Caenorhabditis elegans: one gene and its partners. The protein of the gene in region 2 interacts with the protein of the main gene of each other region in a pairwise test. Each region holds a gene or a part of one and is shown on either strand. Other genes may lie near its edges. The genes, in order: pak-1, ptp-3 and Y37D8A.8.

The links.
Region 1: the proteins of ptp-3 (region 2) and pak-1 interact in a two-hybrid assay, tested with the Caenorhabditis elegans proteins (one large-scale study listed by BioGRID).
Region 3: the proteins of ptp-3 (region 2) and Y37D8A.8 interact in a two-hybrid assay, tested with the Caenorhabditis elegans proteins (one large-scale study listed by BioGRID).

The regions. Positions count from the first base shown.
Region 1 is NC_003284.9:6,043,694-6,050,522, reverse strand, and holds pak-1 (Serine/threonine-protein kinase pak-1), read left to right. Parts: upstream 1-1,918; 5' UTR 1,919-1,924; coding exon 1,925-2,005; intron 2,006-2,164; coding exon 2,165-2,243; intron 2,244-2,291; coding exon 2,292-2,398; intron 2,399-2,946; coding exon 2,947-3,094; intron 3,095-3,142; coding exon 3,143-3,357; intron 3,358-3,401; coding exon 3,402-3,494; exon of another isoform or gene 3,495-3,643; intron 3,644-3,760; coding exon 3,761-4,328; intron 4,329-4,378; coding exon 4,379-4,452; intron 4,453-4,506; coding exon 4,507-4,629; intron 4,630-5,241; coding exon 5,242-5,313; intron 5,314-5,470; coding exon 5,471-5,629; 3' UTR 5,630-6,214; downstream 6,215-6,829. UniProt on the Caenorhabditis elegans protein: Required for hypodermal cell fusion, together with cdc-42 and ced-10, leading to embryonic body elongation, which involves dramatic cytoskeletal reorganization.
Region 2 is NC_003280.10:10,973,701-10,978,625, reverse strand, and holds the start of ptp-3 (protein-tyrosine-phosphatase), read right to left. Parts: upstream 3,058-4,925; coding exon 2,790-3,057; intron 2,441-2,789; coding exon 2,299-2,440; intron 2,254-2,298; coding exon 2,013-2,253; intron 1,610-2,012; coding exon 1,396-1,609; intron 1,249-1,395; exon of another isoform or gene 1,099-1,248; intron 169-1,098; exon of another isoform or gene 1-168. UniProt on the Caenorhabditis elegans protein: Has a role in early neural and epidermal development; neuroblast movements during closure of the gastrulation cleft and epidermal morphogenesis. Vab-1 and ptp-3 may function redundantly within the same sets of neuronal precursors.
Region 3 is NC_003281.10:12,863,276-12,868,197, reverse strand, and holds Y37D8A.8 (LITAF domain-containing protein), read right to left. Parts: upstream 3,251-4,922; 5' UTR 3,229-3,250; coding exon 3,115-3,228; intron 1,215-3,114; coding exon 1,179-1,214; intron 1,133-1,178; coding exon 1,067-1,132; intron 881-1,066; coding exon 704-880; 3' UTR 579-703; downstream 1-578.

The DNA of each region.
Region 1 (6,829 bases), on a different chromosome or scaffold from region 2:
TCAGGGAAACACCCACTAATAGTTTTGCTGCTCACTGAGATTTCAGGAAGCTCCAAATGATAAGTGTCGAGAGGTCGAGATGTTAGGTGGTTGTCCAAGTTGTTCTATCTCTCTTACTCACATCTCTTACTCCCTCTTCACCCCTTCCTGTCGTGTATATGTGTGTGTGCGTATGTCTGGTTGTGTGTGTTCTTCTTCATTTGACCGCTATCGATTGATTTTATCTCCAACGACATCCTCCCCTCATCCGTCCGTTTTGCCCCTCCGCAGCTCTTTATCAATTGCCTTGGCCGCATCATCCGCGACCCACCGTACTAGTTATCTTTCTCTGTTTCCTCCATTCAATTGATAACACTAGAAAATGGCGCGCGTTCAACAAACACAGTGCCATTCTCCATTTCTAGCAAACAGTCCAGGTTTCGAACTGTTTTTTTTCTACATTGTGCAAAATGAGATTGGATTTCTTATCGACAGTGTAATAAAATCTTAGATACCTAGATTTTGTTTCTCATTTTTCTTTTTTTTTTTTCTTTCGGTTTTGTGATTTTCCTTTGGGTTTTTGCAGGTCTAGATTGTAAATATTCCCAAATTAACAGATTATGTAATGAGGATTCTCAAAAAATGTTCAACAATTTTTTATGGCGGTCTGAAATTTTAAAAACACCTAATTTTAATTAAAATTGGCTATTTTTTCATGTCTCAGCTGTTGGAAAATTTATTTTGAAGATTAGAATGTTTTTATTGCATATTGGTGATTTTCTTACATTATTTTGTTAATGAATGTACATTTAAAGCCCATACGTAATTGAAAATGGCCACAATCAACCCCCTATGATTTTTATGAGGTCTCATTATTAAATTTGTTCCTTTATGAACATTTTGAGTGCTTACAAGTAAAAACCCAAAACCGATACCCCTCCTTTAATCGAGAATAGTATTAGACCAAAAGTATCATCATTCACCGTTAGTATGAATGCAAACTTTTCAGCTTTTTTTCGGCTTTCACTTTCTAATTTCCTAAACTAGTTCTCAACATTGTCACTCACTCCGAACCTCGTTTCACAGTTTCTACTCTTTTCGGCTTCACACTTCTAGAACATTATCCGGCTGATTGCCACTTGGATGACAAGCGGGAAACAAGTACGCGAACACACGGTGGTGGGCGATAAAATGAAGTGAAACATGAATGACTCATATCATCACACTTTAAAAAAGATTCCCGTCTCTTCTTTTTCTCCTTTGAAAAATATTCCTTCTTCTTCCTCTGGCCCAGTTTATTCACCATCCATCATCTCCTAAACTTTGAAATCTTTCGTTTTGAAAACCAAAAAGCCATCTATCTTTTTCGGGTCAAACTCACGTCAGACGTTGGTTGCAGATAGGCTCTTTGAAGCAATAATGCAAATGAGAACTCCGAAGAAAAGGTCAAATTCTGGGTCCCACATTTTCCATAACTCCTACCCTGAGATTACTAAAAAAATATAGAAAAGCAATCCAATAGACGACCTCGAAAGGCGAAAGGGCCATGCTTTTTCGGTCCAAGATTACTCATAGCACTGGGTCAATGTCCTCTTTACACCATGTGTTGTGCATCCATTTCCCTGCCCGCTCCTATCAATTTCCTCTTTTGTTAGTCATAGTCCAACAATTTTTTTATAAGGGGGCGGTCAGCAATTTGTTCTTTCTTTTTCTGATTCTTTATTGTGATCGTTTTTCTATGTTTTTTTGACTCAACAAAACATGAATATTGGTTCCAATTTTCCTATTTTTCCAACAGTTTCGATTTCACTTGACAACGAAAATTCCTCCTAATTATTGTTTTCCTTTTTCAGTTTTACATTGCATACTGTATTCCTTCATTCTTTTTTGGTTTGATGCTTGTGTCTTCTTTTTCCAACAGTTTCAATTTTCCAGGCTTGCCAAAATGAAAGCTTTCTCATCGTATGATGAGAAACCACCAGCACCACCAATTCGTTTCAGCAGCTCGGCAACGAGGGAGAATCAGGTAATTAACTCGTCCCTCCACTCCTCCCCAAAGATGGGCGACAATCTTTCGAAGGTTCTTCTTCCAAATCAGATGATGCATGTGTTGCTTGCCCCTCTCCCACCCATCTCTATTTCTCTTTTTTCCATTCTCCATGTCTTGACTAACTCAATTTTTCAGGTCGTCGGATTGAAGCCATTGCCCAAAGAGCCAGAAGCAACCAAGAAAAAGAAGACGATGCCTAACCCGTTCATGAAAAGTAATATATTGCTCTTGTAACCATTCCTGATTTTCCTGTTTTTTTCAGAGAACAAAGACAAAAAGGAAGCGTCAGAAAAACCAGTGATCTCTCGACCGAGCAATTTCGAACACACAATTCATGTCGGATATGACCCAAAAACCGGCGAATTTACGGTCAGTATTTTTTCAAAAAGTTTTTGTAGCAGTTTTCCCACTCTTGCGTTACTTGCAAGATTATTTTCCAATGATGAACGAGTGATACAGCTGTCATTCTGACACCGGTCGCAACCGCTAATCGTACCAGATTAACGTGAATGCTAATAGTAAGCTAAAAACTAAAAACTACTACTTTTACTTTTTCCCTCAGTCAAAAAATCATTATAAACAAATCTCAATTTATAATAATATTTTGCAACCGTTAATTCAGTGCATTATCTTCTAAAAACGTGTTATTCTTGAAACCATGGTTAGTGTTAATAAAGCTTGCGTTTTTGAGACGTTTTAAGAAAACAAATCCATACGAGAAAAATTTAAGTGAAGCCAATTATCACGAACATGTATTCAACCAAAGATAGTTTCTTCTAAAGACCTATGAAATTGTCCCAATTTTTTTAGTATGAAGAGGTCTGTTTTGTCGAATAGACTTGAGAAACTACTGTAGAATCTTATTTATAAACTTTTCTCAGAAACTTTTGCTCCTTATCAACAATATAAATTTTCAGGGAATGCCTGAAGCATGGGCACGTCTTCTCACAGACTCACAGATCTCAAAACAAGAGCAGCAACAGAATCCTCAGGCAGTGTTGGACGCGCTCAAATACTACACACAAGGCGAAAGCAGCGGCCAGAAGTGGTTGCAGTACGATATGAGTAAGTAACCCGTAGTCAGTCTTGCTAATGGAGCTCATTCTTCTACAGTGTTTATAGATGACGCACCTTCTCGGACGCCATCATACGGACTGAAACCGCAACCATATAGCACATCATCCCTGCCGTATCATGGCAATAAAATTCAGGATCCAAGAAAGATGAATCCAATGACAACCAGTACAAGTAGTGCGGGGTATAACAGCAAGCAAGGAGTTCCTCCGACGACGTTTAGTGTAAATGAGAATAGATCGAGTATGCCACCGGTAAGTGGGAAGAATAATCTTGAAGTTCATATTGATTGCTTCAGAGTTATGCACCGCCACCGGTCCCCCATGGTGAAACTCCTGCTGATATTGTTCCTCCCGCTATCCCTGATAGGCCGGCAAGGACGTTGAGTATTGTGAGTAGAATTTTTGGTACTTGTGTATTACATGCCCTTAGTTTTAGAGTATTTTTTTAAGTTAAAAACAATAAAAACGTGTACCACATTTTTTATTTCTAGGTTTAGGAAATAATCTTTCTAAGCCTGGAGAGGAAAAATGTATATCACGTTTAAATTATATGGAGAAATGAATGAAAATTTAATTCAATTTCAAAATGAGGGCATGTAATACACAAGTACCGAATTTTTCCCAAGTTCTCTATAACATATAAGTATATTTTCAGTACACAAAACCGAAAGAGGAGGAAGAAAAAATTCCAGACCTTTCAAAAGGACAATTTGGTGTACAGGCCAGAGGTCAAAAAGCTAAGAAAAAGATGACTGACGCTGAAGTGCTGACTAAGCTCCGTACCATTGTGTCTATCGGAAATCCAGATCGAAAATATAGAAAAGTTGATAAAATCGGCTCAGGTGCATCTGGTTCTGTGTACACCGCTATTGAAATTAGTACCGAAGCGGAGGTGGCTATCAAGCAGATGAACCTGAAGGATCAACCAAAGAAGGAATTGATCATTAATGAGATTTTGGTGATGCGTGAGAATAAGCATGCAAATATTGTAAATTATTTGGATTCGTATTTGGTGTGCGATGAATTATGGGTAGTGATGGAGTATCTTGCCGGTGGATCATTGACTGATGTTGTCACGGAGTGCCAGATGGAGGATGGAATTATTGCAGCTGTTTGCAGAGAAGTTCTTCAAGCGCTTGAATTCCTCCACAGCCGCCACGTCATTCACAGAGATATTAAATCTGACAATATTCTTTTGGGAATGGATGGTTCGGTGAAATTGAGTAAGATTATAATTTTTAATGCTTTTGCAACCTACTTCTGTGAATTTCAGCCGACTTTGGATTCTGTGCTCAGCTCTCGCCGGAGCAAAGAAAACGCACGACAATGGTCGGAACTCCATACTGGGTGAGTGATGGAAATTGAAAAAGCGAATAGGAAATTAATGTTTGACAATTGCAGATGGCGCCGGAAGTGGTGACCCGCAAACAATACGGACCCAAGGTTGATGTGTGGTCCTTGGGAATCATGGCGATTGAGATGGTCGAAGGAGAACCGCCATATTTGAATGAAAATCCACTCAGGGTATGAAATATTTGCTTTTTTGAATTTAAGAAGACAACGCTTGATAATTGAAAAAAAAAACATGAATCTGAATATATGATTCCTTTCAATAACACTTGTGCTCGCAGAGTGTGAATGAGAAATGGAAATTTGTTGTTACAGCGATAAATTTGTTGCTTAATGAATTTCAAAAAAATCTAATTGGCCACTATTCCCTAGTAAGAATAGCAACCCCAGTTTTGCCCATAACGATCAGAAAATAATTTGGTTCAGGTTGAGGTCATGTTATTGAACAGGCGCCTAAGAAAAAATTTAGCAGAAACTTTACATTTTTCCGTAACTTCTCAGCTAACTTTAGCAACCAATCTCAAAAGTTGCAATAGTTGGGTAAAGTTGGTAAAAGTTAGGGATGACCCCCACCGCAAGATACAGATGTGCATTGAGAACTACCGAAAGCTGGGTAAACTTTGTTGAAAAATCGCTTAAGTTGAGAAGATTGAGACGTTGTTGAGAAGTTGCTGTAAAATGACGAGAAAGTTAAAGTTAAAGTTGTTTCAGCTATACTTAGGTTTTATAATTTTAGCTTAAAATTTCTCATCAATCAATATTGATCTTAAAAATATTTTTTTTCAGGCTATCTATCTCATTGCTACAAATGGCAAACCCGACTTCCCTGGAAGAGATTCCATGACTTTGTTGTTCAAGGTAAGAGAACTCGAGAACTTTCGAAACAGAAGATTTGATAAAAAAAATATTTGTTAACAGTTAGTCACAAATGTACAAAAGATGACTCAACTGCTACCGCAGTTTTACTTTACTTTCAGTACAGTATCAATTTCTCCCATTCTGTCCCAATTTCCAGGACTTTGTCGACTCTGCGTTGGAAGTACAAGTTGAAAATCGATGGTCGGCAAGCCAACTCCTTACGCATCCATTCCTCCGATGCGCCAAACCGCTTGCTTCACTGTACTACTTAATCGTTGCGGCGAAGAAGAGCATCGCCGAAGCTAGCAACTCATAATTATGATGATTGTATTCTCAATACACGACGTGTATTTCTTGTTCTTCTCAAATCTCAAGTCGTACTTACTTTGAAACTGTTTTCTTTTCTCTCCATCTCAAGTCATTTCTAACTATCTACTTTGAGCCCAACTTACCGTTTCCCAACAAAAAAGTCACACCTTAGTAATTTGTGTAATGTTTTCTGGAATCGATCACGAGTAAAAATTCAAGCCCCTTCATTATTTCACATCTTCCCCCTCTTTATCTCTTCTCGCAATGCACAATTTGGACTATCTCTTTTTTCTTGTTGTTGAGCGTTCCCAATCAGACGACACACTTCAATTATTTATGTAAGTTTTTTGTCTTCACTTTGTCTTCTTTTCATTCGGTTTCTTGCATTTGTGTCGTTCGAACGGAAATCTACAGTTAACCAGCTTTGCCCAAATTTCCCTATTTCTTTTTCAAGTGTCTGTAGGTGGGAACTATTGAAACTCTGTTTTCATGTGGTTTCCAATTTAAAAATCGGCCATAAGGTCAAAATCTTAAATTTTGTCTCATGACGTTTGAAACAATTGATCATGTTTAATAAAAGAGAGATGAATTTACTTATAGAATCAGAAAAGTTTTCAAAATAGTCAAATTTTGTTCAAGGAAATTGTACTATTTTCTTTTGAAAAATTATTTATTATTATTCCTGACCAGGTACATGGTATAAGGTAGTTTACCTCAAAAATTAGAAATGATAAATAGTTCATTTGAATGATTATGTTTAGACTATATATTTTATTCTAGAAATAGTTATTCTAGTAATTGCAGCAGCACAACTCAACTCCCACCACCACAATTTAGGTATATCTGAACTTTGTTGAGAGCAACTGTGCTAAAGGACACAAAAGTTACTCCAGAGGCTGATAATGTTGTCAGGCTGATTATTGATAATTTTAAAGGTTTTCAAGAACACGCACAACATATTTTAGCAAAACTTAAAAAATCAAGTCACATAACAAGTTGAATATGTGAATAATCCCTGTGAGTATTCTGGAACTATATTTTTCACCATAATAGTGATTGAAAGTTTCAGGAGCTTACAAATGTTTCATAGTGCTATAATGCCACTTTTTTCATATTTCTTATTGAAAACTAAAATCAAAACTAAAAAAATATGTTTCTGGTTAGAGAAAAATCTTTCGAAAATTAATATTGACAACGATTTTGCTGA
Region 2 (4,925 bases):
CGACAACACCGGGGAAGAAGAATCATCGAAATTTGTGGCCGGGTGTCATAAAAATGAGAAATTGCTGGTCATCGGGTGTCGTCGTATGCCTGCACACATAAAGCACACATGTCGGGAAGGCGCCTAGATGACGACCGACATCTTCCAGATGACCTCCAATTACTAGTGATGGCTCACAGTTTGAGCACAGAAAGATGGAAGCTAAATGCTCGATAGATATCCGGATGGCGGTTTTTGGACGATTTTATTGACATTTGGAATTTATTTTATGATTGCCAGATCTAGAGAGGAGCTTGGAGGGTAAAAAACTATGAAGAGATTTTTTTATTTAAAGGTGTAGCAATCTGTCAAAGAAAAATTTCAACGCAAAATTTTCCAAAATTTACACTTTTGTTTTGAAAGGTTGGCACTTTTCCAAAATTTTGACTAAAAATGCTTAGAAGCTCAAACTATTTCAGAGTGTTGGCAGTGTTGTAGACTCAAACAAAAGTGTTTCAAAATGTATAGAATAATTTTTCGAATTTAAAAATTTGGTTGAAATGGCTGGAATTTGAAATTTTAGAGCTGTATCTTACAAAAAAAAGTCTCTGGAACTTTAAAAATTTAACTCGATTTGAAAATCTACCTCACTATGTATTATTGAGTCAGAAAACGGTTATATTTCCAAAAATAGATCAGAAGCAATGTTTTAGAAAAAATCACCTATTCTAAAGCTCAAAGCTTTAAAAAAATAAGGTCATGCTGAAACAAAAGCATTCCGCTCAAATGAGCACCACCGATATAAATGCTCATCAGGGAAAAATAGAAACTATGAAAAGTTATATTAAAAATACTTCAACTAGCAGGCCTAAAATCTAGAATAAAATTCGCTCACCGAATCAAACATAAATCAGTGAATCACACCTATTCTCATCAATTTCTCTCTGTTTCGCCCTTCCCACTCTATGTCATAAAAATGAAAATCACGAAGAGAACAAGTGACCGAATAAAAGTGACCAAGAGGCGCAGATATCAAGCCACATGCTCAAACAAATGCAAATGTGATCGCAACAAGAAGAGGAGGAGGAATGGACAACCTATTTTAATGCAAATTTGAACAGTTTTTGGCTGGGGCGCCTATTTTAAATTTAGTTAGGATGAGTTGACCCCTCTCGAAGTGCGAAATTTCAATGAATAACTGAACAAGTTAGGCATTCCAGTTTTTCAACAATTGAATTTGGATCATTATGTATTTCTAAAACAACTTAAACTTTTAAAATGCATTAACTGAAAAAATTTTGATTGTGTGTGAGCATATATTTTCAGACATTTTTTGGCACCGTAATTTCTGGTTTAAAATTATATAAAAAATTTTTAAAACATCCCTCCCTCAAAAAATCCCCATCCCAAACTAACCTTTAACATAAAGATTTGCGGCTTTCGAGTGAGCAACTCCTAATGTATTCCTTGCAATGCATTCGTATTTTCCCTGATCTTCTTCTCGAGCATGCTGAATCATCAGGGCTCCAGGGTTTCCGATTGTACTTACAGAGTATCTACCATCTGCACGAATGTCTAGCGGGATCAGGTCACGGAGCCAAAGGACTTTTGCTCGAGGATCTCCTCGGACCTGAAAGAATTTTTTTGAATTTGATTTTGGAATCGTTAACATTTTTAAAGTTTTTTAAAAAAATATTTTTTTATTTGTTTTTTTTAATTTGAAAACAGCCGACATAGTTTTTAGTATTTGGTTTCAGGTATATAGGGTAATTCCAGATGTGCTATGATATTTTGGTGTTGGTAACTTTTGGTATTTGTGCTATTTTTGCTATTTTAATCCCATTTTAACTCCATATTGAATTGTTCTTCTTTCAATTGTTAATTTCTTCAAGTTCATTTTTATTTCCGAAATATCATATTTTTAAAAGTTTTTAGCATTATTATTTGTTGATAAAATTTTAAAATCTTTTCATAATACATACAACGAATTTCCCATCTTAAACGCAACTATTTTAAAATTTCAAAAAACTTACCCGACAAGAGACATAAGCAGTTTTCCCCTGTTCGACCGACTTCAATGATGGATGAAGTTCAATTTGAGGGAACCCAATCGGAACTTTGTCTCGTGGGACAACGGTTAGTGATGCTTCTGCGACAACTGGATTGGCAACTCCATTATCAGCCGAGCAGGACACAACAGTCGCATTGTCATCCAGAGAGACACGTTCGAAACGGAGAGTCGATAAGCCGGTGGCCAAGGATTTTATTGATATTCTGGAAAATTTGTAACAGTTATATATTTCAATGAAGCCTTAATACCGATTATGATCTGTTATGGATTTTCCATTGACTCTCCAAATCACACTAGGCAACGGATTTCCATCTGCTCGACAGAAAAATGAGATTTTCGATTCATCGACGACGGTTGATGAGTCTGGACGGACGACTAGTCGGGCGGGGTCTGAAGATTATAAAAATAGAAACTGTAAATATAGTTCACTTGAATTCTTGCCAACAATACAACTTAGAATTGAATCCTCCGCATAAAACTGCGCTTAAATTTGAAACTGAGCTGGAATCTTAGGGAGTATTACAGCTTTATCCGGGCCTATGTGGTTGCAAAAAAAATGAATCTGAATTATTTTCCTGATTTTTTCCTGATTTTACAAGTGTCTAGGGGTAGTAAAGCTTTTTGAAACATTTTTTTAATAAAAAATGTTTTCCAATTTTTTTCTGAAAAAAAATTCCAAAGGTTTTTCTGTTTTCTCGAAAAACCATTATTTTTCAACCAAACCTGCACTATAACTTACACGCAAGAGCTTGAATATAACTCTGATAAGCTTCAGCATAAAGCTGATTATTTGTAAACTCTTCCTTCCGAACCAACGGAATTCCCCCGTCCTGCACATCCTGATTATCAGGTGGCTCTTCATCATTCCACCCGAAATCCTCATCCTCTTCCCCCAACTTACCGTCCTCTTTTGCCGCGACCAGTACGGTACTTAGCATTAGAAACAGAAGCAGCGACGAGCCTTTTCGGCGTGCCACATTTCGTAAGTGACGCGCTATCCGATTCATACTGTTGTTCTTGTTTCTGAATTGGATCATGATGTTTTTCTGATTAGAGAGATACACCCATTTTTGTTGGAAAATTTTTTAAAGTTTTTTCTTGAATTAAATTAATTTTATTTAATTTTTAATTTTTATTCGCGCTGCTTTCTGATCACAGAAGACTTTGTTGGGTATGAGGATTTAGAGGTGAGGATCTGAAATTTTAAATGAAAATTGTTAAGGGAACAGAAAGAAAAGAGCAGAAGTGACATCAACTACATAATCAAAGTTCAGGAAGCACAAGAGCATGAAACAAAAAGATATGAAAGGCCGATTAAAAAGCCACCACAAAAATTTTCCAAGCGACCTGGAAAGCCGCGCAAATGGGTTGAAGAACAAGAGGAAGAGAGAGAAAAGAAAAAAGTGGTGTGGAGAAGAAGGGGTCCCAGGGATTTATTTGGGAAATGGAAAATGTTGCTTTTATTAATGACCATTGCGCAAGGGCAGGTGAGGGGGTCATTTGGAAGGAGCTGGGGGCTTGGCGCGGGGGCGAGAGATTTGGAGAAAGGAGATGATAAATCTAATTGAGAAATCAAGGGAACACAATTATGAAATAGAGGGGTTTACAAAAATTTTTTCTTTATTCGGAAATAGCTCAGACTTTTATCATTTTGCATAACCTTTTCACAACCATTTTCATGTATATTTTTAGATTTTAAAAATTCAGACAATATATAGCAAGTTGGAGAAGCCTAGTTGAATTGGGATTTTTTCAATTTAATTCCTTATCATAGTTCATGGCCAAAATGTCATATTTTAACACAATTTTTTTTGGTTTTTTTTTTTTGAATTAAGAAAAGTAATACTACGATATTAGTTATTTTAGCACCATATAAATCAAAGTTCAAATTCGAAGTTCTAAAAATGCAAACAAAAAATTTTTTGAATATGTGAATTCTAAGACATTTTTGTAAGCGCTTTGTTTCAAGTCCCGTTAAAATCACCCCTGCCACATTCGCTTCTCTCAAAGCTTAAACTTTGAACAACTCTGCAAGAAAATAGAGAGTGTATAGAAGAAGAAGAGACGCAGAGCAAAAACATGCAAATGGCGGGACAAGACTAATCGAGGAATAAGGGGAGCAAAATGAAACAATTTTACTTCTATTACTATTACTCTTCTAGATGACCCCCATGTAATGAATGAATTCACACCAAGAGGTTGGAGTTGGAAAACTTTGATAGTTTATTTTGAGAAAAGGGGGAGAACTTTCTGTAGAGCAGGTGTTAAATTATAGTTTAATTAGTTTTCAGTGAACAGGTAATGTTCACAATGAGTCAACAGATTAAGGGGGTTTTGATACATCAAAATATGTTTTTAGAGATCAAAATGAGATTTTTTTTTTGAGAAAAATTAGACAAACCAATTTGTGAGTTAGTTCTTGAACATCAGCCGGATTCTGTAAAAGGTTCGGAAAATTTCAACTCAAATTCATCTTGCCACAATCTAGATTCTCTCAAGATCAAGCTCAAGCGTAATTGAGTACAAAATCTATTTTATAGAAAGCTGCATAGAAAGCTGCATTGTATTGGATAATCGAAGTCATTTTGTACTGTAAAATTAGGTTCAATCTGGGCAAACTTTAGCAACACTTGAAAAAAATGGGAAACCTTGACACCTTGAAAACTGGTCTTTAATAAAATGGAAATAATAAGTACCTTAAATACTGATGAGTTCAAGCTAATATCTGAGTTCTGTCGAGTTTTAAGGTTAAAATAACTTTTGAGCACCGTCCGGGCAATTTCAGAGGAGGGCAGCGGCACCGTCACGCCCGAACGGAATGGAATTTCTAGTCAGGGCTAAGTTTGGCAAAATACAGTAATATCTATCTAATTTT
Region 3 (4,922 bases), on a different chromosome or scaffold from region 2:
ATCTTTTTACTTTACAAGGACTATCGCACCTAACGCGCTACGCTTTGCAGAAAATTAAGTTGGAAAACTGGGGAAAATTCGGATTGTTTTGAACCAAAATTGACTGAGCCATAGTCATTCGAAGATAATATCATTCCTTGGTTTTTTCTAAGTGTATTCGGGCCTGCGGTCCTCAATCTGGATAGACTGGTCTTTCCAAAAGCATACGTAGTCTCATTGAAGGCCTGCTCTGCTGGTAGTAGGGAAAGAAGTGGCCTAAAGTTTCTAAGAGTAAGAGGGTGGCCCTGATCCCCGATTTTTGGGTCTGAACGAAACACGATAGCATTGCAGGCCACCAGCATGTACTGCTGGATGATGTTAAAAGTGGCCAAAATTCAAAATTTGCCGAGGTCGGCAAATTCGGCGTGCTTAACAAACTCAGGAAAATTTGATGTCTAAAATGAAGAAAAATAGAAATTTTAAAATTTCCAATTATTTAAAAAATCTCGACACGACTGATGAGGTCATGGTGCACCGAACTAGTATTCCCGAGAACAGAACCGCGACGCGACACGCGACGCACAGTAAAACAACAAGTCTGGGACGAGGTGGTTTACCCCGCCAAGAAACCCCGACAAAATATTTATTCCGAACGTTATAAGTGATTGAGTGCAATTTAAACGAGTACACGAATTGGGCTTTCACTTGTTGAGATTCTCAAAAATTATCCTCTCTTTTTACGCGACAGGACCATTCCACAGTTCGGACAATGATGAATTGCGTCACGGATATCAATGCAACAAAGGATGTAGATGAGGAAAAAGGCGACGAAGATAATCAATATGATAATAAGCCAAGCGAAACATCCCATTTCGTATTCGACAACTGTCACAACGGTACACTGAAAAAATTGTTGTTTGAAAATGTGTCTACTTTGAGGGCTTATATCTCGGTTGGCTTGGGTTTTATCAAAAAATTTTTCACTGAGAAAATATAGAGAAATATTTTCTGCATATTTTGTTAGTTAAAATTGTTTAAATAAAACTAAAGACAACCGAGATATAAGCTTGTGAAGTAGAGCACTCACTCTGCATCTTGGACAATATTCCTGGTAGGGTTTGAATGATGGAGCAACTTTCTCGTAATACATGTACTGAAATTAATTATCCATGTTTTGAATTGGTTTATTATCTTTTTACCGGTGTTGCCACGACGACTTGTCCAGCTTCTTTTCTCTGAAAACTCAAGTATAAGGTTTGATCTCCGAGAATTGCGGGAATTTAGAGTATATTCCCGCATTTTTTGTAGATCAAGCCGCAATGGGGCAGCCTGACATTGCAATTCTATAGCCGTAAAAAAAATGCGATTTTCTGAGTGATTTTTGTAAACACACAAAAATTGGCAACCTTTGTGCCTGCCCGGAAGACGACCTAAGCCTTATACAGTGCTGGCCAAAAAGATATCCACTTTTGGTTTTTTGTGTGTAACTTTTTTCTCAAGCATCCATTTGACTTGAATTTTTCCGTGTGCATAAAGCGAAATGTTACGCAAATTTGCGGACCAAACATTACATGATTATCGATTTTTTCTGAATTTTATTTCAATTTTTTGATTTTTTCGTTTTTCCAATTTTCATTATTTTTTTTGAATTATCAATAAAACGCACTCTTTTTGTTGCACTGGATTTGTTTGGTTGATAAATTATTTTTAAGGTATGGTAAAATCTGTTGGGTGTAAAAATCTTTCCTTGGACGTCAAGAAAGCCATTGTAGCTGGCTTCGAACAAGGAATACCCACGAAAATGCTCGCGCTGCAAATTCAACGTTCTCCGTCGACTATTTGGAAAGTAATCAAGAAGTACCAAACTGAGGTGAGTTCGAAAAATATTATTTTTTAATAATAAATGTTTAGAAATCCGTCGCTTTGAGAATCTCGCCCGGCAGGCCTCGAGTGACAACCCATAGGATGGATCGCAACATCCTCCGATCAGCAAGAGAAGATCCGCATAGGACCGCCACGGATATTCAAATGATTATAAGTTCTCCAAATGAACCTGTACCAAGTAAACGAACTGTTCGTCGACGTTTACAGCAAGCAGGACTACACGGACGAAAGCCAGTCAAGAAACCGTTCATCAGTAAGAAAAATCGCATGGCTCGAGTTGCGTGGGCAAAAGCGCATCTTCGTTGGGGACGTCAGGAATGGGCTAAACACATCTGGTCTGACGAAAGCAAGTTCAATTTGTTCGGGAGTGATGGAAATTCCTGGGTACGTCGTCCTGTTGGCTCTAGGTACTCTCCAAAGTATCAATGCCCAACCGTTAAGCATGGAGGTGGGAGCGTCATGGTGTGGGGGTGCTTCACCAGCACTTCCATGGGCCCACTAAGGAGAATCCAAAGCATTATGGATCGTTTTCAATACGAAAACATCTTGGAAACTACAATGCGACCCTGGGCACTTCAAAATGTGGGCCGTGGCTTCGTGTTTCAGCAGGATAACGATCCTAAGCATACTTCTCTTCATGTGCGTTCCTGGTTTCAACGTCGTCGTGTGCATTTGCTCGATTGGCCAAGTCAGTCTCCGGACTTGAATCCAATAGAGCATTTGTGGGAAGAGTTGGAAAGACGTCTTGGAGGTATTCGGGCTTCAAATGCAGATGCCAAATTCAACCAGTTGGAAAACGCTTGGAAAGCTATCCCCATGTCAGTTATTCACAAGCTGATCGACTCGATGCCACGTCGTTGTCAAGCTGTTATTGATGCAAACGGATACGCGACAAAGTATTAAGCATAATTATGTTGTTTTTAAATCCAATTGCTCATATTCCGGTACTTTAATTGTCATTTCCTTGCAACCTCGGTTTTTTCAATATTTCTAGTTTTTCGATTTTTTTGAATTTTTCTGAAGTTTTTTCAAAATCTGTTGAACATTTTTGATGAATATTGTGTTTTTAGATTTTGTGAACACTGTGGTGAAGTTTCAAAACAAAATAACCACTTAGAAAAAAGTTACACACAAAAAACCAAAAGTGGATATCTTTTTGGCCAGCACTGTACCTCATAGTAGGCATAGTAGGCACGTAGTAGGTATGCTTGCCTAAAACCCAGACACATATTCTGAAGAATAGCAATTTACCGAAACAACCAAGTCCCCGGGAGATGCAGTTTTCTTCGATTCCGGAATGACGTCGTCAGTGTCTGCGACAGCTTGTGCGTACGATGGTGGCGGAGATCCATGTTGTGGATCCATTATGGAGAAAAATAGAAGAATGAGAGAAAAACCGTTTGACAGAGCCTTTTATACCGGAAACCTACAAGACGTAGAACAAAATTCCACATGGAGGTAAATGGTGTCACGTTTATTTTTGTTTTTTTTTTGTAAAAAAAAATAATTCTTTCAAATATAAAATTGTAAAATGTTGGCAATCTTTTCTGGAAAGTTGGAAAAAACTTCAGATGGCTGGGTAGTTTTCTAGAAAGCTTGATATTCAACTGGAAAGATTTGGAAATCTCTGGAAAGTTAGAAAAATGTGGAAGATCTCGCGGACGAGAAAACGTGAAAAAATGAGCAAAATGGCCTTCAAAACGGTGGAATAGGAGGATTCCTAGTCCCCCCCGTTCGCGTAGTCCTCTCGGAGAAGAAAATAGCGTGTAAAAGATGAGACGCAGACAACGAGACGGCCTCATTCCTTGTCTTCGCTTGTCCGAGTGAATTTCACCGACAATATTCTCAATGGGGCGCGTTTTCATCGAAATTATACAAAGCCCGGTAGCACAGAAACTAGATGGCTTGGTTCATGATACTCAGTCTGAAAACCTATATTGGCTGCTATCTCGAAAACTAACCCCAAATTTGATTTTGCGATGCATATGGAAAATGACCGCAAAAAAATTCTCTATCTTTTCTATTAAGTAATTTTTTGATTGAAAATTTCCTAACCGGTCAAATTTGTGTTTGTTAGGTAGAGCGCGTTGGCACCCATCTAGCTGCTGTGCCACCGTGAAAGAGACAGCCAGCGAGCACATGCAAAGGGGCTACCAAACATTTTCTTCGGAAAGTTAAATATGGACATTTTGCAAGCTTCTAAATTACTCTAAATACTTCCAGAGTGTGCACAGAAGTGAGCATCTGGTGTCAGTTTATTCCATCTCTCTATAGATCTCTACTGCACACAAAATTTTAACCAAAAAACATATTTTCTTCTTGTAAAATGAAGAAAAATTAATTTCAAATATTCTGAGTTTGCTTCAACTTCTGAAATAAGGATTTTTTGCAAAAAGTACAAAAAAAAGACAATTACTGAGTTTTTGCCACTTTTTTTTGGATTTATTATATTAAAATTCAAACATTGTAGGGATTCGAAAAAAAAACTCACTTCAGTAATTGCCTTTGACTGTCAAAAAAAAATTTTAAGTTTTGTTGGAATTTGAGTTGTTTTCTGAGTTCAAGTTAATTCTGAGCAAAAAAATTAAAAAAAAAAAACTTTCAACACAACTGCCACTCTAATATACGTCTTTTGTGCCAGTTCGGTTTGCCTACTGGACGGCCTACTTCACGCCTACTCACGAACCGCACGTCTACCAACCTGGCAGGGCTATGCGGCTGATGGGAAAAGTCGGCTGTTGGCGTCTAGCACGCTCGATTCCAGGTCGACTGTGCTCACTGAGCATTTTGGAAACATCGCTAATTTTTTTGGAGGGATCTACAGTACAGTCCTCGACCCCTCTACAGTACTCCTACAGTACCACCACTTCCAGAACCCCTACAGTACCTCTACAGTAAACATATATTTTTATTTTTATAAAATTGCACTGAACAATGACGTCACCCTATTTCTTCCCCTTTTTATTTGCTTTTTTGCATCACTCTGTTTTTTGTTCCTCTGCTTCCTTCCCTCCATCACCTTTTGTGATGTTAACATTCACATAAATATTATGTCTACT